Linked DNA regions of Astyanax mexicanus. The protein of the gene in region 1 purifies or fractionates together with the protein of each later gene. This does not show direct contact. Links are inferred from orthologs where the notes say so. Each region holds a gene or a part of one and is shown in the gene's direction. Other genes may lie near its edges.

Region 1 (7,559 bases):
CTGCAAACAAATAGAAGTGAGCGAAACTTTAAATAAATACTATTTTTATTTGCATTTTTCATTCTGCACTAACTTTTTTTTTATTTGGGATTGTCTTGTTATTATTGTTTTTTTTTTATTATTTGTAATACCAAAATCAGAAAATACCCGTAATCAGAAAAAGAACCAGAAATGTAATACTTCGTAGAACTTGATGTTGTGCTCTTCTGCTGTATTTATTTGTTTATCTTCTTCTTTACCTGATAAAAATCATGTTGGCTTTTATATATGAAATGCTGCCAATTACCAATACATTAACTGAAGGACAGAAGGTTTGATACATGGTCTTGATATATGATATATGTGTGATTGCTGCTTAGACTTCAAAGACTAGATCAAATATAAATATATATATTACATGTGTACAGTGGGGTGGGGAGGGTAAAAGAAAGAGTGTGGAGCTAATGCTAAAGCTAACGTGTGTTGCCTCAGATGTAGCTAAAATGTTGCAACATAAAACTGGACGAGAAAAAAAATACGTAGGACGTGGCGTTTAGAAACGGGTGAGTGAGAGCACGTGTGATTGGTGATTGGTGACTTGTGGTCAGGGCGATGGGCGGAGCCAGTCAGCTTTGTTGCTTGGTTACAGTGATTTAAAATAATAATAATAATAATAAAAAAAGAGCAGCAGTTGTCCTGGGAACCCGTGTAGATCAGACACTGAATAGAAACTAACTTATTTGTACTGTAAATAGCGCTTATTTATACACGACTACCAAATGTGCCTTCTTTGTAACCTTTTATATCGATTACCAATTACAGTATACAGTAATCAAGCTTGACGTTAATTGCCAAATAGAGGAGAGGAGACGGAGCCACAGCTGTAGACTGTGTGAATTAGTGTGGAAAGACAAGGGCTGGCCTGAACTGATTTCTTTTCTGACCTTCATTTACACCACTGTTCTGTTTATTCTTCTGTTTTTTGATAATTATAATTTTTTACATTTTTCACTGGAAGAATATTAATCTGACCGCAGCTTCTCAGCATCTCAGGGTCACAGCTACCCTTCCTGGTGATTTCAGTATTCAGTATTCCTGTATGCTTGTGTGTACAGCCGCCTTCTGTTTAACAGGGTTTTCCACCGTTCTTCAGTTTTGAAATGTTCCGACTTCGAGTGTTCGATCTGATTTATTTTTTTTTATTATTTTATTTTTTCGTTTTTTAGATGTCCCAGGTGAGGATATTGTACATAGAAATTATTTTAGAATTAAAACAGGATTGTAATCATTTGTAAATTCTTTTTTCTTGATGTTTCTGAAGTACAGCTCGAATTAGATTTTTTTTTTTTTTACATTTTTGTTACTCTTTGCCTGTAGCACTTTGTGTTTACACTCTTGCCTTTTTCCCTTCCTTTAGAAATGGTTTAGAAAGCTAGTGTGTTTCCTGATAGTGTGAAAGGGGTGTGTGCCCTAATTCAGGCACTCGTGTTAAAGCTGAGCGACTGTAAGTGTAGGAAAGTCAATAAAAAATTTTATAAATAAAAGGTATGTACTGTTGGACGGACTTTGCAGTCTCAGATAAATAAAGGGGGCTGCTGATGACTGATAGCTTTTATTCACCTTACCATTCATATGTTTTTTCCTAAGGTATTCTGAAGAGATACGTATATACAGAACTGTGCAAAAGTCTTAGGGTCTTAGGGTGTTTTCTGACCTAAAAGTCTTAGGATCAGATTTGGAACCGTGGTTCATGTGTTTGTTATGTTGTGCTGAATTCTGTGTCTCATCTCAACATGAGTATTACAGATTCCCCTTTTATTTCTATTTATAAACAGAGCCATCAGCTGCCGGAGCCCTGAGAGAGCACAATTGGCCTTGCTCTCTCTGGGTGGGTACAGTAGATGGTGCTCTTTCTCCTCATTAGTCCTAAGGTGATGTCGATCTGCACAGGGCTGCGTCTGTGAGCTGATGTATACTGTACCCTCCTGGTGTTGGGTAATTGGCCTTGTAAATTGGGGAGGAAAAAATATTTTTAAAAATGTAAGAAATGTTGCTGAATGCATTCATTAAAAAGGCTGTTCACAAACTTTTGGATTTATAGCACAATCTTTTACTTTACTTTTTTCTTTGTAAAATTTAACTAATAAAAAATACTATGCCATAGCTTTCGTTCAGCCCACAATTTCTATTTAATTATTTGTCTAATAAATGTTTAAAAGTGTTTAACGTTAAAGAATTCTCCTGTGTCCTGAGACTTTTGCACAGTGCTGTATATTTATCCAGCATGTACTGCTGACGACTGACTGCTTTCATCCACATCAGGCTCCTCCTCCTGTGTGTGTGTTAGGGGCCTGTGTGTGTAAGTGTGTGTGTGTGAGGGGGGGGGGGGATATGATGAAGACAATGTTATTAGTGTATTTATTCAGTTCATGTGTAATTTAGAGATATCAGGGTTCGTACTAATGTCCGGATGGGGTGCGTGTGTGGAGGGGTTAAACCACAGCAGGACAATATTCTAACCCTGGAGAGATATGAGGGTTATTTTCTTTTTGTTTATTTGTTTGTTTGTTTATTTGTTTGTTAGGCTGAATTTGAATGTGTTTGGCTTCTCAGTGTAGTCTTAATTATTCTAGACTTCTGCATGCTTGATTGACTGGCTGATTTGATTGGCTTTTTTATTTTTCGGCCAGTATGCTACTGGGCGCATGGCACTTGTGCCTGTGGTTTTCCACTGGCCAGATCTGAGTGTGTGTTTCTGAATGTAACGTGTGTGTGTGTTAGCAAGCCCTTGTGTATGGCGGCGAGGCGACAGCCTGCGAAAACCTCCAGAAAAACAGACTTTTCTCAGAGAGAAAAGCGAGAGACAGAGACTGAATCCTCTTCCCGAACTGTCTGTGGAACTCGCCGTCTCGCCAAATCCTGCAGCACTGTTCCTGATGTTCCTCAGCGTTCCACCACAGTGACAGTAGACACGGTTCTGTACGGACTGTCTGAACGGTGTTCGTGGAGCCTTTGCCAATTGCCATATTTTACAGTTTTTTGTACAAGGGGAAAAAAGGTAATTTTTTTAAGGAACTGGGGTTAAAAAGAGCCTAGGCCTTCTGTTCTAGACTCCAGTTCTTTTTTTGTATTTGTACTGGGTATAGTTTGCTAACAGCTGTGTATATGTACCTGTAAATACTATGAAGAAAAAAAAAATCATTTTTTTTTTCTCTTTTTTTTTCAACTTGGTTATACATACCATAATGTCTCCATTGTGGAGAAATTGGGAGCCAAAATGTTGTAATGAGTGGAATCATGAAATTTGTATGAGAAATAAAAAAAAATAAAGTTATAATTTTAACAGTGAAACTGGATGGGTTTTTTTTTGTTTGTTTGTTTGTATTTTGTTATTTATTTATATATTTTTATGTTTTCATGTGTATTGGTCATTTCAACATGAATTAAAAAAATATGTCAATTATCAGATTTGGGAAAGAATCAATTTATGGATATTTATATTTATAGTGCTTTACATATGTAAATTTTTTTATAATTAATTTATAATTTATTTAACTATATTTTTTAACATCACAGCACACATTACATGTTTGTTCTTTCAAATATGTTCAATATATATATATATATATATATATATATATATATATATATATATATATATATATATATATATATATATATATATATATATATATATATATATATATATGACAGCTCTAAACCTTTTCTACTGTCGGGAACAGAAAGCTGAAGGAAACTTTCAACTTTTTTGGGGGGTCGTTATGATGGTGTGGATCAGTGGATAACAGCTCCAAGTGTGCAAGTGAGCTACCATGTGGGAGACCTGGGTTCAATTCCAGGTCTGGGTGAGTGGATGCTGGGCTACACCAAAAAGAGTCCTTGGGCAAGACTCCTTAACACTACACTGGGCCAACTCTGTAATAGGAATTACTTTGTAAGTTGCATTGGATACGAGTGTCAGCCATAAATAATAATAAAAAAATAACAATAATGTAAATGATGGCAAAGACACTTAGCATGGTTGACTGCTTGTCTATAGATTGTTAAAAAAGGGCTGATTAAATTCCTAATAATGACATATACTGAACATCCTGAGTGCATGATCCCAGGACAGTGTGTAAATGTGTGTTCATTCACCTGACTTTAAAATTAAAAGTGTATTTGCTGCTTCTACATGTATGTACCAAGCATTTAAACAATTCAGTGCATTAATTGCATATTTTCTATTTTGGTCAACTAGATGTCGACCAATTTCTAGAACAAAATGTTAAAATACGATTAAAATGTTATATTAAACAGTTATGAAAAAGTTGGGCATTTATGTTATGCATTGGAATTTTAAGTCATGTGCACTTTTTATCAAAATGACCAAAAAAAACCTAATATAAATAATTTAACGGATTTAAATTTGCATTCTAACTCTAATTCAAATTCTAATTCAAACTCCAGAGCTGGGTCTGGGCTCTTATGAGTTAATGCACTTTTTATTATTATTTTATTCATTTATTTATTTTTAGCTGTTCTCCCAAACATCACTTGCTCAGCGAGGGGGCCAAGCCTCCCTCACGCGCATGCGCAGACAGAGGCACAGAAAGTGTTCTCGCGCTGACAGCTGCAGCCCTGATGATATCGACGAACGGTGAGGAGTTTTTAAACAGCCTTTTAAATCGTTTTAGTGTGTTTTTAGATACGAACAGTTGTATTGTTGTCGTTTACGCCGTAATATACCGTAATTTAAGTGTTTAAGTCAAGAACGGGCGATGTTAGCGCTGTTCTGCGGCTCCTCTTACAAGCAGAGCTGTTTTATGCTAGCAAATCCTGGGCCGCTGTCCAATTAGAGAACGCTTGCCCTAGCTAGGGCGCTTTGTCGGTGCGGACATAGCCTACAGTGTCTTGGTTTGGATTGTGGCCTATGTAGTGTTAGCGGTAGGAGGCGAGGGTGCGGATTGGAGCGCGGCCCAAGTGAGCGTTTGTTGAGCGGTTTGTATTTGGAAAGAACTATGAAACATATTATATAAAAATGATATGTTAAAATAATTTACATTCAGGGACAGCCTTAAATAGTGTCTGTTTTCATTTGCTAAACTATTAAAATGTATTTGTCTCAATGAGTTTATGCTGTTAAGAGGCAAGAATTGTGGTTGTGAATATGTGAGCTAGGTTAGCTAAAATAGCTAGTTAGCTTAGCTTAGTTTAGCTAGCTAACTGCTATGCTAATAGTGTTAGTTAACCTGGCTAACTAGCTAGTCAGCTAACTGTGCTCTCTGACACACAGTGTCCAGCGCTAACAGCCTCCCGCAGAGCAGCAACCCGGGCAAGAAACACAAAAAGAAAAGCAAGAAGCACCGGAAAGCCACCAGGGAGCTCGTCCCCAGCCTGGAGCTCGGGTAAGCTGCACCAGTCTGGGATATGGCCCAGATTTGTGCGCCTGGGTTTGCTCTCTCTCTCTCCGTGTGTGAGTATGTGCTAAAAATACATGAGGGCGGTCGAGGGACTCACTTCTCCAGATATGCACATTGACTCATGCCCTCTTTCCCCTCCTTCTCTCTCTCTCTCTCTCTCTCTCTCTCTCTCTCTCTCTCTCTACCTACGTGTGTGTTCCTATTTTAATGTAACCTCAACAATGCTCATGTTAGGAACACATCCAGAGCCCTTCTTTCTACTTGCACAACATTGTCAACCAGAGTGAAATGTTGAATTCTGTTATTCCATAGGAGCCCAGACTCATTTCTGCATATTAGAACAGTTCAAATTATGAGATACTAAATCCTAATTATGAGATACTAGCCCTATCTGGACGGGATTAGTTTTGGGATTATTTCACACTTCTACTCAGTGATAAAACTCTTGTATCTGGACTGCAATTGGCTTTCTTGGTCACGTTACATCACGTTCAGTAGCTCCTCCATTTCCACTCGCTGTTGTGTTTACGTGGATCTCTATATGACGCATAAGACGCATTGCTTGAAACTAATAGCAAGGCACCTTTAAGTCAAGTACAAAGACTTTAGTAGAAATGGGTAGGATCCAGTCCACTGAAGTGGTAATGTCTGGGACTATAAGACCCTTTGGTTGGTGTAGTACTAAAGCACATTACTATTGCCCTTGTTTTAATGTTAATATATTTGTAATTAACCATGCTATGTTTTTTTTCTCATTTATCTTATGACAATGTCCACAGGCCCCAGATCCCGGCCTCAGATGACTTCTGCCACATCCTCACCGTCCACAGACCCACCACTCCTCCAGACAGAGCCCCCTCTCCTCCACTAAACCTCTCGCAAAGCCCCCCAGACCTTCAGCCTGTGCCCCCTGTCTCGGTCCCTCACTCTGAACCCATTTCAATCGCTCACTCTGAACCCATTTCAATCCCTCACTTGTCCCACATCTCAGCCCGTCACTCACCCCCCAACTCAGCCCCTCACTCACCCCCCATCTCAGAACCTAACTCACCCATCATCTCACCCCCACACTTACCACCCATCTCATCCCCGCACTCACCCCCCATCTTAATCCCTCCCTCACCCCCCATCTCAGTTCCAGTCACAGAGCTTCCCTCACATACAGTACTACCATCACCAGAGACAACTACTTCTTCCATAGCTCCTTCCCTTGGCCTACCTTCTGCTTTTTCCACAACTCCACCTACTCCATTAGTACTATCCAGTCAGACAACCCCACCACAGGCTCTCAGCCCACCCCCACCAAACTTTACCCCACCTCCAGCAGAACTACTTGGGTCAGATGATGAAGAGCAGGAGAATCCAGCAGATTACTGCAGAGGTTTGACATTTGATAAAGTAGTAGCCGCTTTTAAAATGCATATAATGGCCTGGATAAGTTTTGGAAAAATAAAAATACCCAGAAAGTTTTGGTGAAGGCATGGAAATTTGCAATTCACACGTGTGTGTTTCCATTTATTGACTAAGAAAATCTGTTTTGAGCTAACAAATACATCAGCTCAGTTAATTCAGTAATGTAGCCCTACACAATGGAGCTCTCAGGATCTGACACTCATTGCTTAAATTATTATTATTTTTTTTATCATTAAAGTTTTAGTTGATTTCTGGTAGATATCTGCACTGATGTTTTCAAGATCGCATGGTCATAAAATTTTTGCCTTAAAAACATGGGAAAGTCATGTAAAAATCATGGAAATGTATTGGTTAAAAAGTGTATGAACCCTGCATATAATTGTTTAAGCTGTTTATGCATTTAAAACTGCATAATATTTAGAAATACATTTCCAGGCAGATTTTAGTGTTGTAATATCTAAATTTTTAATACAATAAATCATAAATGAAGTTTAATCCTGATGTTTGTTCATGTTTTAGGAGGCTATTACCCAGTGAAAATTGGAGACCTCTTTAATGGCAGATATCATGTAGTGAGGAAGCTAGGATGGGGTCACTTCTCCACTGTCTGGCTGTGCTGGGATCTTCAGTGAGTAGACCATTCAGAAATGCCATGTCTAATTCTGAAAACAACTCAACTGCATTTTATTGATTCACCTGTAATAAAAACTGAAGTCATATTCTGTGTGTTTATTAGATTATACA
Region 2 (7,386 bases), on another chromosome or scaffold:
GTCTGAAAACTTTTAAATCAGTGCAAAAAAACAGACAAACTCAGCTTCTGTCACCTTTATTTCTCTGGTTTTCTTGTAACTGTCCTTCTCTTCCGTTTTTTCAAAAAGGCACACGGTTCCTGGGCCGGCTGAACAGGCGAATCCTTTAGAGTAGGGTGAGATGGCCGTCACTCTTGGCAATAAGGCCGGTGAAGAGGAGGTGTCCTCCGACTTCCTCCTGTCTGTTTTTCTGTCGGACAGCAAAGCAAGGCAAAATGTAGAATGGCAATGAGAAAAATGAAAGAGTAGTCAGTGTACTGTAGCATAACAGAAGAATAGGCTTTATGTCTATAAACTGTGTAAATAGTGGAAATAGTAGAAAGATAAAAGGAAGCAGCGGGAAAACAGATTCGATAGCTAACCATTAATGATAATTATACAGCTCTGGAAAAAATAAGAGACCACTTAAAATTATGATTTTCTTTGATTTTACCTAATTGTAAACCTCTGGAATATAATCAAGAGGAAGATGGATGATCACAAACCATCAAACCACCAAACTGAACTGCTTGAATTTTTGCAGCAGGAGTGTAAAGCATAAAGTTATTCAAAAGCAGTGTGTAAGACTGGTGGAGGAGAACATGATGCCAAGATGCATGAAAAAAACTGTGATTAAAAACTACCAGGGTTATTCCACCAAATATTGATTTCTGAACTCTTAAAATTTTATGAACTTGTTTTCTTTGCATTATTTGAGGTCTAAAAGCTCTGCGCCTAAGTTAGAATGGGAGATGCTAGGCTAACACTGCTAACAAGCACTGGATTGAGACAGTTATTAATATTAAACATCCTCTTACCTCTCTGGCTCCTGTGTGGAGGGTTTACTGGTGACGCTCAGGCTCCCGCGCTGGTCCCCTGACTCAAACACAAGCAGCCGTCCCGTCTCAGTTCCAGCAATGATCCTTTCTTTGGACATCCAGGCGTGAGACAGGATGTTATGTTGCTCCATTTTGACAGAGTTGGTCTGTTTTAAGGCCCCTTCAGTGTAACGGAAGATCTTGAACAAGCCGTTGCCGCTCACACAGATCTGCATGTTGTCCTGAGGGCTGAAGCTGACCTGTGAACGAGAGAAGAGCAGGACATGCTTAAACCAAATATCCATTTTTTTTACTAAATTCTTTCTTTAAAGCAATATTACACCATGCCTCTTTTTGATACATCAGCTCACAGATGCAGCCTTGTGCTCATCCACATCACCCTAGGAGTGATAAGAGGAAAGAGCGCCATCTACTGTACCCACCCAAAGAGAGAGCAAGGACAATTGTGCTCTCTCAGGGCTCCGGCAGCTGATGGCAAGCTGCATGAACAGAATTCGAAGCAGCGATCTTCTGATCATAGTTGCAGTGCTTAACATGGTTTCTTTTTTTGAGGAAATGCAGTTCAATCCTACCTGGTGGATGGGACCAGTGCTGGTGGTCTTCACCGTGGCCATGATTTTATGCTTCTCCCAAACCCAGTAGAACAGGGTCCACTCCGGTCCTCCAGCCTGACCTATGAGGTATTTAGAGTCAGGAGAGAAGGCCATGCAGACGAACTCCCGCACTGGAAGCTCTCCACCGGTCAGAACCTTCCTCCTGCGGCTCTGCTCGTGCTGCAGGTCATAAATGGTTATGGTAGCCTTCTCCTTGTGCTCTGCCACGGCCAGGTAGCGCCGGTTAGCGCTGATGGCCATAGCCTGCATGCTCTGGCTCCTCTCTGTACCTGTAGGAGGTAATGAAGAAAGAATTGATCAAAGTATCTGCATAATTAAATGGTTAAAATGTAAATTCAGAGTGGGTTTGGTGTGAAATGCTCTGTTCTAAATAAACTAACAGAAATATTTGTAGTAGTAGTGAACAGAACAAGATGCTCTAAAGCAGGGGTCGGAAATTAAGTTTGGCCATGGGCCAGATACAGTATTTTCCAAGCCATTATGTGGCAGGCCATAAAAAAATTGTTTAGGAAAATGAAGTGTAATGGGATGAAGTGCTACAGACTAGCAGCACTCCAGCCCAGAGGGTTGTTGAACCCAATTGTAGAACAGTTGATCTCAAAGCAGGTAAAACCCAAGAAGAAACGATTTTAAAAAATGAATAAATAAACTGCCACTACCCCGGCTAGTGAATTTGGACACAGCCAAGTCATAGGGAGCACGATAACGGGTGGAAAAACATGAACGGGCAGAAACTAAAGTCGCACCAAGCGCAACAGAGGGAGACGAGGGAGGTATGTAAACAAAAGCTCACCAGAGAAGCATTTTATCTATTGCCAACCCCTGCCCTAGAAGCTCTTTAAAAGAAGGTTACTATAGCAAAAGGTTATGAAGACACTGATGCCTAAGACATTGCTTTTTCAAAATGTTTGAGCAAATGTCAGATCTAAAGGGTGTCATCATCCCTTGTGTCCCATGTGTTAAATTAGGCTAAAATAGGTCTGTACTTAAGTTATGTTATTTTTTATAACCACTTATTCGATCTTAATTACTATTTGCATTAGTCCACTCACCTGGAATGAAACTCTGGCATGCCTGATCGAGGTCATAGCGCACACAGTTATTTCCACAAGGAAAAACCACAGTGTGTTCATCGAAAAACAGAAGGTTATTATTTACTCCAGTCCTCAGGCCAAAGATATGGTGAGACTGAGCCACTACTGCAGCCATGGCTCAAGAAATATCTGTGGAATTCAAGGAAAATGGAGAGAAGGGCAGTTTTAGACACAGTAAATCATAATACATATAATATAAAACACATGCTGGTTCTTAGTAAGTCAATATTAGTGTACAGAATAGTCTAAAACGGGGACAGACTAGCAAATATGGCAAATCCAGACCCATGAAACCCACATGTACCCACGTTCTGCACCTTAACCCTTTCAGACCCTGCATCTGTTGCAATGAACAACATCTGTTTTCTTATATTTTTGTAGTTTTGCATTTAATACAGATTGAGGCCTGTTGTCCAACATAATTGACATTAATCAGCCAATCAAAAACAGCACCTTAGCCTCAACTGCTGCATTGGACAAAAAAAAAAAAATGAGATTTTTTTTACTGTTTAAAAAAGTTATATAAAAGTTTCATAAAATAAAAATAAATATTTACATAAAAATATAAACAATCTACTTATATATATACATATATACATATATATATGTTTGGAGTGCATTGGTAGGTTTCCTGTGTTTTTTAATACACAGTTATGTCTGATAAAGTGCCTCAGTGCCTCTTGTTTAGTAGAGAAACTTACCGAATAAGAGCCAATCCAGCGGTAGTGAACAGAACCAGAACTTTTATAAACTCTTTAAAAGCACATAAAATAAAAAAAATCGCGAGATAAATCGCCTGCTAACAGCTAACAGCCACGGTTTACTGTAACCACGTTAACGCAAAGCTGCAGCGTTACTAGGCAACCCCACGCACACGTGATACAATAAAGTAAAGTAAAATGAAATAAAATAAATAACGAATAAATAATAACTTTAATAATAACATATCATACAAAATACTAATAAAAGGTTTGCCTAAAAAAAAAAAATAATTATTTAACGTTTAATTTTAAACATATAAATATAGTAATTGTATCATATTATATTATATTAAATCATATTATATCATATTATACAGCCTGTACAGCATCAACATTTATTTTATTATTTTGAAAAAAAAAAAATACGCACATTTTTTTTGCGTGTAAACAAAATAAAAGTATTTTATACTACAAAAAGTACTCAATACAACGTAGATTTAAAAAAAAAAGCAAAGATCATCTACAATTAAGATAGAAAGGAAAATATAGTACTGTTTATACATTTATAAATATTTTTAATTACGTTACAAGTGTTTAAAAATATTCATATAACAATAATTACTAGTTTATTTATGTTTCTAAATATAGAGCTATTAAAAAGGATACAACATTTAAATTTTATAGTACTCTAAAAGTATATTCCATAGCAAAAAAAACAATATTTAAACGTTTATGAAAAAAAGATCTAAAACATAAAAAAATAAAAGTCTTTATTAGTTTAGCGATATATATTTTTTTTCTTATATATTTTTTAAATATATTTAAAATGACCTACAATTAATATGGAAAGCAAAATATGGTATATACATTTATAGAATTGTTTAATACAAGAGTGTTATATTTATTAATTATTAACAAAATATTAATTATTTATGTTTCTAAACATTAAATACCTTTCAAAAGGTGACACAATTTTAATTTAAAAAAAATATTCCACAGCAAAAAGAAACAATATTCAAACTTTGAATAAAAAAGCGATATGAAACATTTAAAAATATAAAAGTCCTTTTTTTAAACCACTGGAGGAGCGCACTCGAGGTCGGAACTGTTCTCAGAAGAGTCTTGGTTCTACCCGGACCGCGATCTGTGCCGCAGCGTTGTTTGCCCACGCTGTGAGAGCTTGAATCACACGTGAAAAGAAACGATAGCCTTTAATAACGTGTTTTTTATCATCATAACGAAGTTTTTCAGTGTTAAAATGGTAGATATAGAGGAGGACAGTCAGCTGGGGCTGGAGTCTGAAGAGGAATATGAGGAATTATCTGATGGGGAGGTGAGAACTGTGTTGTTTAAAATGTTTTAAGGTAGTATTGTATTTCTATCGATGGTAATTGTTTTTTAAACGAGTCTAAAGTCACTTCGATAGAACGAGTTGTATTTTGCGACCGTTTTGGATGTCGTATAGATTTAAGTTTTGTTTATAATAACCAGCTTACTTTGTGTATTGTCAGTTCCACCTTAACTGGAGCTGCATTTAACTTACAGTAAGTGACTGCAGACCCATTTAAGGTGGAACTGGTAGATCCAACTGCAATCTAGCGAATATGAACAAAAATAAATAATGAACAGTGTGAACAAAAATCTTTACGACCTTCAGAGGAGTCTTAACACACATTATACATGTTTGATATGTAGTTTCTGATAGCCTAAGAGTCTCAGATATTGAAACTCAACACTAGAGGTGGGCAATATTATGTCGTATACAATATATCGTGACACATATTTATCATGATATTAAAAATCCATATCGTGATAAAAGGGATGCTTTGTCTTAAATGTAGTCTATTATTTACTGTAAAGCTTTAGGTGTATTTATTGTATAATTGTTTTAGTTTGCACTTTATATGCATGAAAATATTCTGCATTTTTTTTATCTGCATATTATTTTATGCTATTTTATTTATTTTGCCACATTACGATTATTCTGTTATACTATTATACTATATTCCTGAAATTAATGAATTGTTTTTCTGTTTTTCTATTTTGCCAAGTATATCGTTATTGCAAAAATACCCTTGCCTGGAATAATCCTATTTCTCTGATTTTCCATTGTGATTTTCAAGGACTTTTTAAAATTTTGGGCCATAAAAAAATACTCACCATTTTATTTTTACCAACTAATGATGTCACAAAGCAAACTCACTGAAATCCTGCAAATCTACGCTTTACCTAACCTTCTTCTCATCTCCATTCAGCTCCAGGAGGCTTTTGCCAAAGGACTTCTCAAACCTGGTTTAAATATTCCTCTAGAAGAACCAAAGAAGGCCGTCAACAACGTAGTGAGTTCCCTAATTTACTTATTATTACTTTATTTCTCTAGAGATACTATTTAGCAAAACCAACACACCTCTGTTCTGTTCTACAAGGAGGGGCTGAAGAAGTGCCTGGCTGACTTTAAGAAGAACCTGCCTTGGGTCGAGAGGCTGGACCTCACCAACAAACCAGTAGATGACGTTCTGGCCAAAGCTGAAGGAAGACCGAGCAACGACGACGTCAATCCTGAGGACGATTTTCAGAGGGAAATGTATTTGTAAGTATGAGTTCTGTTTAAAAAAAATCTCAAAGCTTTGGAGCCAAAGAATAAATATCCTTTGCTGTTGTTTTTAATAGTATAAATGATGTATATCTCTTACAACACTAGATCTATTTATTATAACTTCACCTTTATTCACCTAAACATTTAAAAACTGTTATAGAAGACAGTCACACATGCCAAATTATATATGGAGCATATTTTTTTTATAAGTATATGAGCTGGACTGAGGACTTTTATTATGAAGTCCTTGTATTATGAAGGCTTTTTAATCCCGCGCACTTTATGTATGAATTATTACCAGTCAGATATTAAGGAGCAGTAAAATCACTCTTAAAGGATGATTAATCTGGAGGTTTCTCTTTATTGTTGTGTTTCCAGCTATCGACAGGCTCAAGCAACTGTTCTTGAGGCCCTTCCAAAGTTAAAGAAGCTGAATATTTTTACTAAAAGGCCTGATGATTACTTTGCAGAGATGTCCAAGACTGATCAGCATATGCAGAAGGTAAGTTCTTGCCTCATTTTAGCTTCTATAAATGAACAGAGCGTGAGAACACAAGCGTACTGTCACTGTGCACTGTAGCAGTCTTGGTTCATTCTGTGCTAGCATAGTAGTTCAATATTCAATGGACAGAACAACATATAACATTGTTAAATGCATATAGATTACAAAAATAACATGCACAAACTATTAAAATATTTTTGCGATAATTATATTCTTCAGTGAAAGACAAAAACAGTGTAATTTTATTTATGTATTTTAACATTCAGCAGAACAAACAAATAAAAAGTGTTTTTTTTTATTAAAAAAAAAAGTATCCTTCCAAAATTGTAACAACATAATCTGACAGACAATAATGTTTCATAGAAACAGTGTAAAGTTAAGCAAAAAAATTATTATACAAAAAAAACCCTCAATGCTTATTAGTAATTAGCACGTATACACGTTTTTTTTTTTTTGTTTTTTTTTTCATGAACATATGATATGGAGCACCCCTAGCAAAAAAAACATTCATTAACAGCAGCTTCACTGAAAAAATGTATTATATGTACCATACAGTACTGATTGTCTTCTACTCTGTCTAAAACTCACCTCAACTTAACAAGCGAATCCAAGTTATGTCCAAGTGAATGTCCTAGTAGAAAATGTATTTATCATTGTGGTATTCCAATAAAATGTAAACACAGCACTGTCCTTATTAATTTGTCTTTTTCTTTCAGATCAGGAAGAAGCTCATGCAGAAGCAAGTAGCAATGGAGAATTCTGAAAAGGCCAAGAAGCTGAGAGAACAGAGGAAGTTCGGCAAAAAGGTCAGACCTCAAAACCGACGTTTATTTTAAAGTATTTAAACAGTTTGAGTTGTTGCTAAGGGTTTTTTGCTTTCTAGGTACAAGTGGAGGTTCTCCAGAAGAGGCAGAAGCAGAAGAGGGACATGATGACGGCAGTGAAGAAATATCAGAGAGGTTTGGGTTCTTTTTGTAGTACTAGTGCATCTAAAAAAAATAGAATATCATTGAAAAGTTACT
Region 3 (8,036 bases), on another chromosome or scaffold:
CTTTTTACAACTGATCCTGTCAAAAAGCAACTTTACAGAACCATTAGTTAATGGGCTTTTTATCCAAATCTCACACTGTAGAAACTAAATGAACACAGTAAAAGAAATGCACAGACCAGTGGGCAGGTCAAACACATCCATAGATATGCTGATGTGCACACACACAGCATTTAAATGCGGACAGACTCAAATTATATGTCTAAAATGTAAAATATATAAAATATCTAAAATCTTTTTCCAGCTGCAGCATTTTTCAGTTTCAGAATTTTACAAAACAATGAAATAATGAAATCACAATTACAGTATTTTTCGCACTATAAGGCGCACTTAAAATCCTTTCATTTTCCCAAAAATCGTCAGTGTGCCTTTTAGTCTGGTGCGCTTTAGTATGGACTTTTACCAGTCAGGTGGTGAGGAGAAGTAAAGTCACTCTGCTGAAGTACAGCGTTATAAAAGAAAATATTTCAGTTAAGTTCTCCAGCACTGGGGCTGGAGTAGCATTAGCATTAGCTGCTAACCGCTATTTCCCCCTTCAGAGGCGAGTATTATCGGCCTGTAGCCTGCTGCTAAGCCCGGCAAGCGCTGAAAATCTTTGTAGATTAACATCCAGCATTCTTTTTTTTTTATTTGTTTTGTTTACTTAGCTTAGCTTTACTTAACTTAAATGTGCCTTATAATCCAGTGCGCCTTATGTATGAAAATAGACCATAAAATAGGTGTTCATTGATAGTGTGCCTTATAATACATATTACAGTGCAAAAAATATGGTACAAAACTCTGCTGTGGGTCTTTGATTTAAAACGATGAACTACCTTCTGTGTCCCATTACAATCATGCGAAGTTTGTCGCCAAGGTCCTGCATCTCATGGATCTGAACAAAAGTCCCTGTGTTGTAGACGGCATCCAAATTTGCCACAACATCTGACTCATCACTGATTAAAAAAAGAAAGAGAAATGAGACAATATAGTCAAATGGTCATTCAAGTAAGAGTTCAAATAATAAAACTTTCTTAGATCCATACCCATCATCCTTCTTGAGAAAGACACCGGCGTATGGCTGAGCAAGTCGTACTTTTCTTCTCAGCAAGTCCATCAGCTGCTTATTTTTCACCTGGAAAGAGAGAGAAAAAGAGTGCAGAACTGGTTAAAAGAGTAATTTACACTGATATGCCAAAAGACGTTGAGGTGAGTGAGACTGAACATAGTGCTCATGGCAAGGCACTATGAACAAACAGAGTTCAAGTGAGGCCTGATAGCGAAGGTCAGACGAATGTCATAGAAGACATTACCACCCAACAGTGGAAAAGTGCAGTGGGTGGTAATGATCATGACCAGTGTCATGTGGCTAGATCTGTCCATCTCAAATCAAGGATGATCCACACACAGACCCACAGGTCACTGCATTGTAATTTAGCTTCCATGGGACATGGCAAAAGTCATGGGACACAATAACAGTTCTTGTCCCATGATTTGTGGCACATCAGTAATGGTCTCAATTTATGTGAATGGCACAGCTTCATTTTTGGGGCTTAAACTTTTCTGATCCTAATACATTTATGTTACAAGAAACTTTTATTATTTTTAATTATTGATATATTTTATACTGTAGGTTAACATATGTTGCTATTATGGATTTAGCTGGTAATCAAAATATATCCCAATTGTTTTAGAAGCTTCTCATTACATTATGGCAACACTATGACAACAGAAAAACTCCAAAATATTACAGTAAAAGTTAGAGAACACTCCTGGAAAGATAAATTCTGGAGATGCCTGATTTTGTTGGACAGCAGCACTGTGTTACATTCATATTGGAGGAACAACAAGAGTATTTTCCCAGCCTACAAAACAATTAAGAGAGGTCTCTTTAACTCATTGTGCACCAACAAAGATCCAGGGGGAGCCCATGTCAACCCTGCTAGGGGTTAACCATTTCATTCAAGCCATTCTGTTACAGTGAATACCCTCACTTTGACTGTAGTGAAACAACTGCACCTCTCTCATTTACATGCACTGTTTAGAAGTGGGAATAGTAATAGGAATGGGCCACATCCTCTTGCATGCATGCAATAATATCTCCAAAATAGACATGATCTAAAAAAATCTTAAAAGCAACATATTTTAACTGCAGTTTAGATTGAACTAATTTATATATATATTATATATATACTCAATAACGTTTTAACCCATAAGTGCCCAGAGCAGCTCCCTCATTTTTTCTTATTGTTGCCACTTAACTGTAAATATTTTAAGGTTAAAAGCCTGATGTAACAGAAATGACAGAACAACTATTTCATGATTTTAACTTTTAGTTCTAGAACTAGTGTCAGATGTACTAACAAGGATTGTGGAACATTTAATTAAAGCATGTGAATTGGTTAAACAGATCTGTAAAAGTCAAAGTTTCTCTTTTAAAGGGAGCTAGTTTTATCTCAAGCAATAACCCAGCACTCCTACATTATTTAAATAAACACATTATGTACAGTATGTGTCACTTAAGGACTTCATGACTTAAAATGACAAAGAGCAGTAAGGATTTTCTAGATCTTCTACAGGGTTTGTGACACATACCTTAGCATGGGCTCTTTTTGGTTAGTATTTTTTTGCAGAAGTATAATCTAGAAATTAATTTGAATATATATGTAATAATACTGAGATTATTTCTTTATTATATTATATTAGTTTATGATTATTATTTTAGGCCGATATTTCCCACCCCCAGTTGTCAATGACAATGTATGTCCAAAACATTTGTATGGACATAAACCCTTTAAATGTATTTATATTTCTCCCAGTTTTCTTCAAAAACAATCTCTACTCTTCTAGAAAGTCTTTACTGACCACTTGAACATTGCTGTATTGAATCTTTGATTGCAATCAACCATATTACAACAGATACAGTTATTATGGTCAGGTACTGACGTTTAATGGTTATTTCTGATTAGTACTGTCACTCCAGCTAATTTCAAAGGTGGCTTACTGGTTCTCCAGCTCCAGAGAACCCCACAGTACACACCTGACATTAACCCTGGTGGCCTTAGGGTTATACATCACACATTCAGTGTCAGCAAAAAGTTCACCTTATCTAAACAGCTGAACACACCAGCTAACTAGCTGGGTTAATTAGTTAGAAGTGTGTAGATACGGCTGGACTTGCAGTATAACTAGCTGTAAACTAGTTACTGAACCATGGATCTGAGTGACTACTAACCTCGATGATCTTTATGAAACGTGGGAAAACAGGGTTCCTGGTGACTGCGATCAGAGGAACGTTAGGAAAAACCTCTGGCACCATCATAGGTGTCAAAGCGGTCATCTGAGGAGCTCCATACCCGCCTCCCTCTCCATCCCCGCCCGCATCATCCGGGCCAGCCCCGCTGCTCTCCGCTCCATCCTCCCCGGACAGCCCGCCGGGTCCGCTGCCCCGGTTCCCCATCATATAGCCCCTGCGCTCGGAGCTGACCGACCAACCGGGTCCTGAGGCGTCCCTCCACCCGGGGAGGACGGCGGAGACCCGGCTCCATGCCCTGACGCCCGCCGCTGGAGGAGAACCGATGCCGCACAGCGGCTTGAGGCCGGAGCTGTAGGCATACGCTCGGGTCGGGGTTTGCCCGCTGTGGCCGGGTGTCTGGCTCCGGAACAGCGCTCTGATTTCAGCGCTGAAGGCGCTGGAGCGGGTCTGCAGCGCCTGTCTGTACGGAGCCCACAGTCGCATGTACGCCGCCATGTTTATCTGGAGCCTTCTACGAGCCCAGAGCCATGCACGCGCTGCGACCGCTGATTGCGTCAGCGTGTTTACACACGCCCCTTAAACTGGAAACGCGGCTGGAAACATATTTTCATTTTTCTATTTATTTATTTCTCATAATTTAGTATATAATATCCAATTTATATTTAAACAATTAATAAAATACAGTCTAAAATAAAATATAAATAAAAAGTGCCCTTATACTTATTAATGGTCGCGCTCCAATAAACGCACTCGGGTTCAAGGGTTTCATAAGAATGCAAATCTCCAGTACTTGGATGGTTTGTACTTTTTTTACTACTAGCTTTATGTTATTTAAGATGTACTGATAATAATACAGTAACACCTGTACATAAAAAGTTCAGAAATCATTATTTGGTGGAATATCTCTGGTTTTTAATTACAGTTTTCATATATGTTGGCATGTTCTCCTCCACCAATCTTACACACTCCTTTTAGATAACTTTATGTCACTCCTGGTGCAAAAAAAACACAAGCAGAACAGCTTGGTTTTATGGCTTGTGATCATCCATCTTTCTCTTGATTATATTCCAGAGTTTTTCAATATGGTAAAATAAAAGAAACTCGTCATTTTTAAGTGGTCTCTAAATCATAATAAAAAAACAAAACAAATAAAACCTTTACTTTTAATGTATGTATGTATTGTGTGTAGCTTATATAGTTAGCTATGGAGAAATCATACCCAGGTAGCAAAAGTACACTAAATTGAAGTTAATCCTTGCATCTTTAATACAACAATTTTGACCTCCGATGTCAGAATTGATTTATTAGTTCACATCAATTTTACAATCAATGTTGTATTTCTTGCTTGTATTTCTGCTACATTGTAGGAATGGACATTTAAATAATAATATCAATCGTTATTTATCATATTTTTTGTGGAGAACACCTATTACATATCAGAACTGCAACCATTCAAAGACTTTCAACCAACGCCTATTAGATAATGATAAATAAAGGTTGTTTTTCCATCATCAACATTAAAAGGCTTAATGCAACAACAAAAAAACGTTTATTGTCTTGAAAGTCTTGAAAGCACAGCAGCACAATATGGTCTCAGTACTATACTTTCAGTAGCTGCAAGACAAAGGTCGTGAACGTAATAGTGGGTTTACGCAACTACCCCTTGTTCTTACCTCAGTGCACTTAGAGGTGCACAAGTGTACAGAAGGAAATCTCACCAATTGGGACAGTCCCCCACTCGCAGATGTGACGCCACCACCACGCGCCTCTAACCCCCACGTGTGGAGTCTGACTGAGGAGCTCGACGTGTTTAAAGCTTCAGACTCTCACCGGCTGCCTGTATTTATCTTTAAAAAGCGAATATGGGTAAAAAACTGAAGGTCGGAAAGACCCGAAAGGATAAGTTTTATCACCTGGCCAAAGAAACCGGTGAGTCCAATGAAACAGGAGCTCCGTTTCGGTGTTTGTTGGGGTATTAAAGCTAAACTAGCTGGCTAACATTAGCTTAGCTCTGTGAGCAGCAGTTTAACCACACAGAGAGCAGAATAGCTAAATTAGCTAACTTAAGTTACTCAATTTCTCTCACTGATTAAGGGCTTTCAGATGTTTTTATATTTTGGCTTCTGCTTGTCATTTAGTGTATGTATCGTTTTATTAATTAAGTAGTTACTGATTTTAGATTAATTCTTGTTTTGGTTCAGCTCCTGTTCTGCTTTACTGTTGCATGCGTTTCTGTGTCACTTTGGAAATGTATTATTTTAGTTTGAGCAAAATATCCCACAAAGGAAAAAACAGCAGAACAGGCCTCTGTTTTCTTGGAATGTCTTTATAAGCTTTTTCATTTATGAACAAATATTAGTATCCAAGTATTGTGTGTGTGTGGCATCCATGTATATAGTGTGAAGGTTTATTATGTGGTTATTATCGTAAAATTGGCCTGTTTTTTTTAAATGCAATAAAACCCAAAATACTGTTATTGTGACAGGCCTACTAATATAATTTTAAGCTGTAAAATATACAGATGTACACATTTACAGTTAGGTGCAGAAACATAGTGAGTCTGCAATAAAATAAAATAAAAATATTTAATTTAGAAGATTTAATGCTGTGCTTTTTGTTTTTCAGGTTACAGATCCCGTTCATCTTTTAAGCTCATTCAGCTAAACCGTAAATTCAACTTTCTCCAGAAAGCCAGAGCTCTTGTGGATCTTTGTGCTGCTCCTGGAGGATGGTAAGATGTCCGATCTGTAAAATGTCATGGCTGAATTATGTTTTAGTTGTATTGCTGCAGGTCCACATGGGGTGATATCTGTGTGATTGTTTAATTGGTTTAATCTGCTTACAGGCTGCAGGTGGCGTCCAAGTTTATGCCAGTGTCCAGTCTTATTATTGGTGAGTTTAGACTTCAGTTAAAAAGTGAGCTTTAATTCAGTCAGTAGTGGGGTTAGACAGCCCTGTCTTACTGTTCTTTCTTTTCTCGTGGTCAGGAGTGGATCTGGTCCCTATCAAACCCATCCCTGGAGTTGTTGCCCTGCAGGAGGACATCACAACTGAAAAGTGCAGACAGGTAGGACTGGTATCTATGGTAGCCTGCAAAAATGATCAGATTAGTGTTATTTTGCTGGAGTTCATTGCAGATTTGCCATTACAATTCGTAAGTACATAATGCTCCTTAAATGTTTGGTCCTACTTTTCAAACTCAATATGCAGTCTTGCGTTAATCACCATGGTACTCAGGGGGCAATATAGGACATATCCTAGCTTCTGTAAACAGTACAGGGTTACCACTGGGACTGTGAATGGCAAAAAGCATGGTAGCAGTACAAGACAACTTGGCTGTCACTGTATCGCCTTTTGAAGCAGCACATAGAATGCAAATAGCATTATCAATGCACCATGAAATACATTGACACATTTTTTTTAATTCAGTTACACACAAACCCCTGTCTGTGTAGCTTAAAGCGCCCATTTTTTTCATGCTTGTGTGAAGTGTGTTTCGAGCTTTAGGGTATAATAAAAGCTAACATGAAATTTGTAGATTTTTATATACTACACAATTTAGGTAATGTTGTTTAGCATTTTAAGGTGTGATAGAAGGTGTGATGCATTTTTAAATAAAATTATTGCATTTTACTATACTGTAATGATCAATTAATCACTGTAATGATTCCATATTGTCATTCTCCACCTGGAACTGATGCATCTTTGTCCAACAGGCTCTCAGAAAAGAGCTGCAGACATGGAAAGTTGATGTGGTACTTAATGATGGAGCACCCAACGTAGGAGCCAACTGGCAGCATGATGCCTTCTCTCAAGGTATTTTTTGTATAGTCAAAAATTAAGGAATGTATTAAAGATGGCCATATTCTAATGAACTTCGTCTAAGATTCAATCTGCTTGTTGACTTACTGTTTTAACTCTTTTCCCCAGCTCATCTCACTCTCATGGCACTGAAGCTGGCCTGTGAGTTTCTTGCTAAAGGAGGGTCTTTTGTCACTAAAGTCTTTCGCTCCAAAGACTACCAACCCCTGATGTGGATCTTTCAGCAGTTCTTTAAAAAGGTGCAGGCCACCAAACCCCAGGCCTCTCGTAATGAGTCAGCCGAGATCTTTGTCGTCTGCCAAGGTAGCATTCCTCTACTCTACTGTTGTTTTTTTTATGTCTTAAATAGCACTCGTAAAAACACCTTTCTTCTGCTCTGTTAGGGTTTCTGTCTCCAGACAAAATTGATAACAAATTCTTCGACCCCAAGCACGCCTTTAAAGAGGTGGAGGTGCAGGTGAAGACTGTGAAGGAGTTGGCCACGGACAAGAAACCTAAAGTAAGTGTGCTCACAGCGAGAAAACTTGCATTAACAATGCATTATATAATGTTTACCATAATCCTTGTTTTATCGTTTATTTTTATTTCTTTCTTTCTTTCTATAATAGGCAGAAGGCTATAATGAGGGTGACATGATCTTGTTTCACACTTTCTCAGTCACTGAGTTCTTGAAGGCTGAGAACCCGGTGGACTTCTTAAGCAAAGCCAGTGAAGTAAGTGCTACTATTAAGGAGCTTAATAAGTAGTTAATAACATTAGTTATTAAATTGTAATAGAAATCAGTCATCCATAACTGCACAAGCCTTGTTTATTACATTATCTGGTTATAGTAATAATTTATTAAAGGGACACATTATGAATAACTCACTTTTTGTGTGTTTTTGTATTTCCACTTGGGTCTCGACTGCCCCAAACATACACCCCAAGTTTGAAAGCAATCCATCCATCCGTTTTATGTGAATATTTTTTCACAATATCCGTT

The links.
Region 2: the proteins of srpk3 (region 1) and ebna1bp2 purify together in Homo sapiens (affinity purification with mass spectrometry; 3 studies listed by BioGRID and IntAct, with this or other methods). This does not show direct contact. The link is inferred for Astyanax mexicanus from reciprocal best matches to the Homo sapiens genes SRPK3 and EBNA1BP2.
Region 3: the proteins of srpk3 (region 1) and ftsj3 purify together in Homo sapiens (affinity purification with mass spectrometry; 3 studies listed by BioGRID and IntAct, with this or other methods). This does not show direct contact. The link is inferred for Astyanax mexicanus from reciprocal best matches to the Homo sapiens genes SRPK3 and FTSJ3.

Annotation. Positions count from the first base shown.
Region 1 is NC_064419.1:4,598,415-4,605,973, forward strand, and holds the start of srpk3 (SRSF protein kinase 3), read left to right. Parts: upstream 1-4,559; 5' UTR 4,560-4,623; coding exon 4,624-4,639; intron 4,640-5,275; coding exon 5,276-5,387; intron 5,388-6,181; coding exon 6,182-6,783; intron 6,784-7,334; coding exon 7,335-7,443; intron 7,444-7,559. UniProt on the Homo sapiens protein: Serine/arginine-rich protein-specific kinase which specifically phosphorylates its substrates at serine residues located in regions rich in arginine/serine dipeptides, known as RS domains.
Region 2 is NC_064415.1:56,522,403-56,529,788, forward strand, and holds the start of ebna1bp2 (probable rRNA-processing protein EBP2), read left to right. Parts: upstream 1-4,385; 5' UTR 4,386-4,524; coding exon 4,525-4,599; intron 4,600-5,521; coding exon 5,522-5,605; intron 5,606-5,692; coding exon 5,693-5,856; intron 5,857-6,240; coding exon 6,241-6,364; intron 6,365-7,080; coding exon 7,081-7,170; intron 7,171-7,247; coding exon 7,248-7,323; intron 7,324-7,386. Other genes in the region: cfap57 (cilia- and flagella-associated protein 57), read right to left, coding at 55-229, 837-1,096, 1,430-1,740, 2,524-2,680. UniProt on the Homo sapiens protein: Required for the processing of the 27S pre-rRNA.
Region 3 is NC_064423.1:28,670,902-28,678,937, reverse strand, and holds the start of ftsj3 (pre-rRNA 2'-O-ribose RNA methyltransferase FTSJ3), read left to right. Parts: upstream 1-4,989; 5' UTR 4,990-5,094; coding exon 5,095-5,161; intron 5,162-5,857; coding exon 5,858-5,963; intron 5,964-6,077; coding exon 6,078-6,124; intron 6,125-6,219; coding exon 6,220-6,299; intron 6,300-6,948; coding exon 6,949-7,048; intron 7,049-7,162; coding exon 7,163-7,357; intron 7,358-7,437; coding exon 7,438-7,553; intron 7,554-7,662; coding exon 7,663-7,767; intron 7,768-8,036. Other genes in the region: lonp1 (lon protease homolog, mitochondrial), read right to left, coding at 813-932, 1,023-1,111, 3,212-3,727.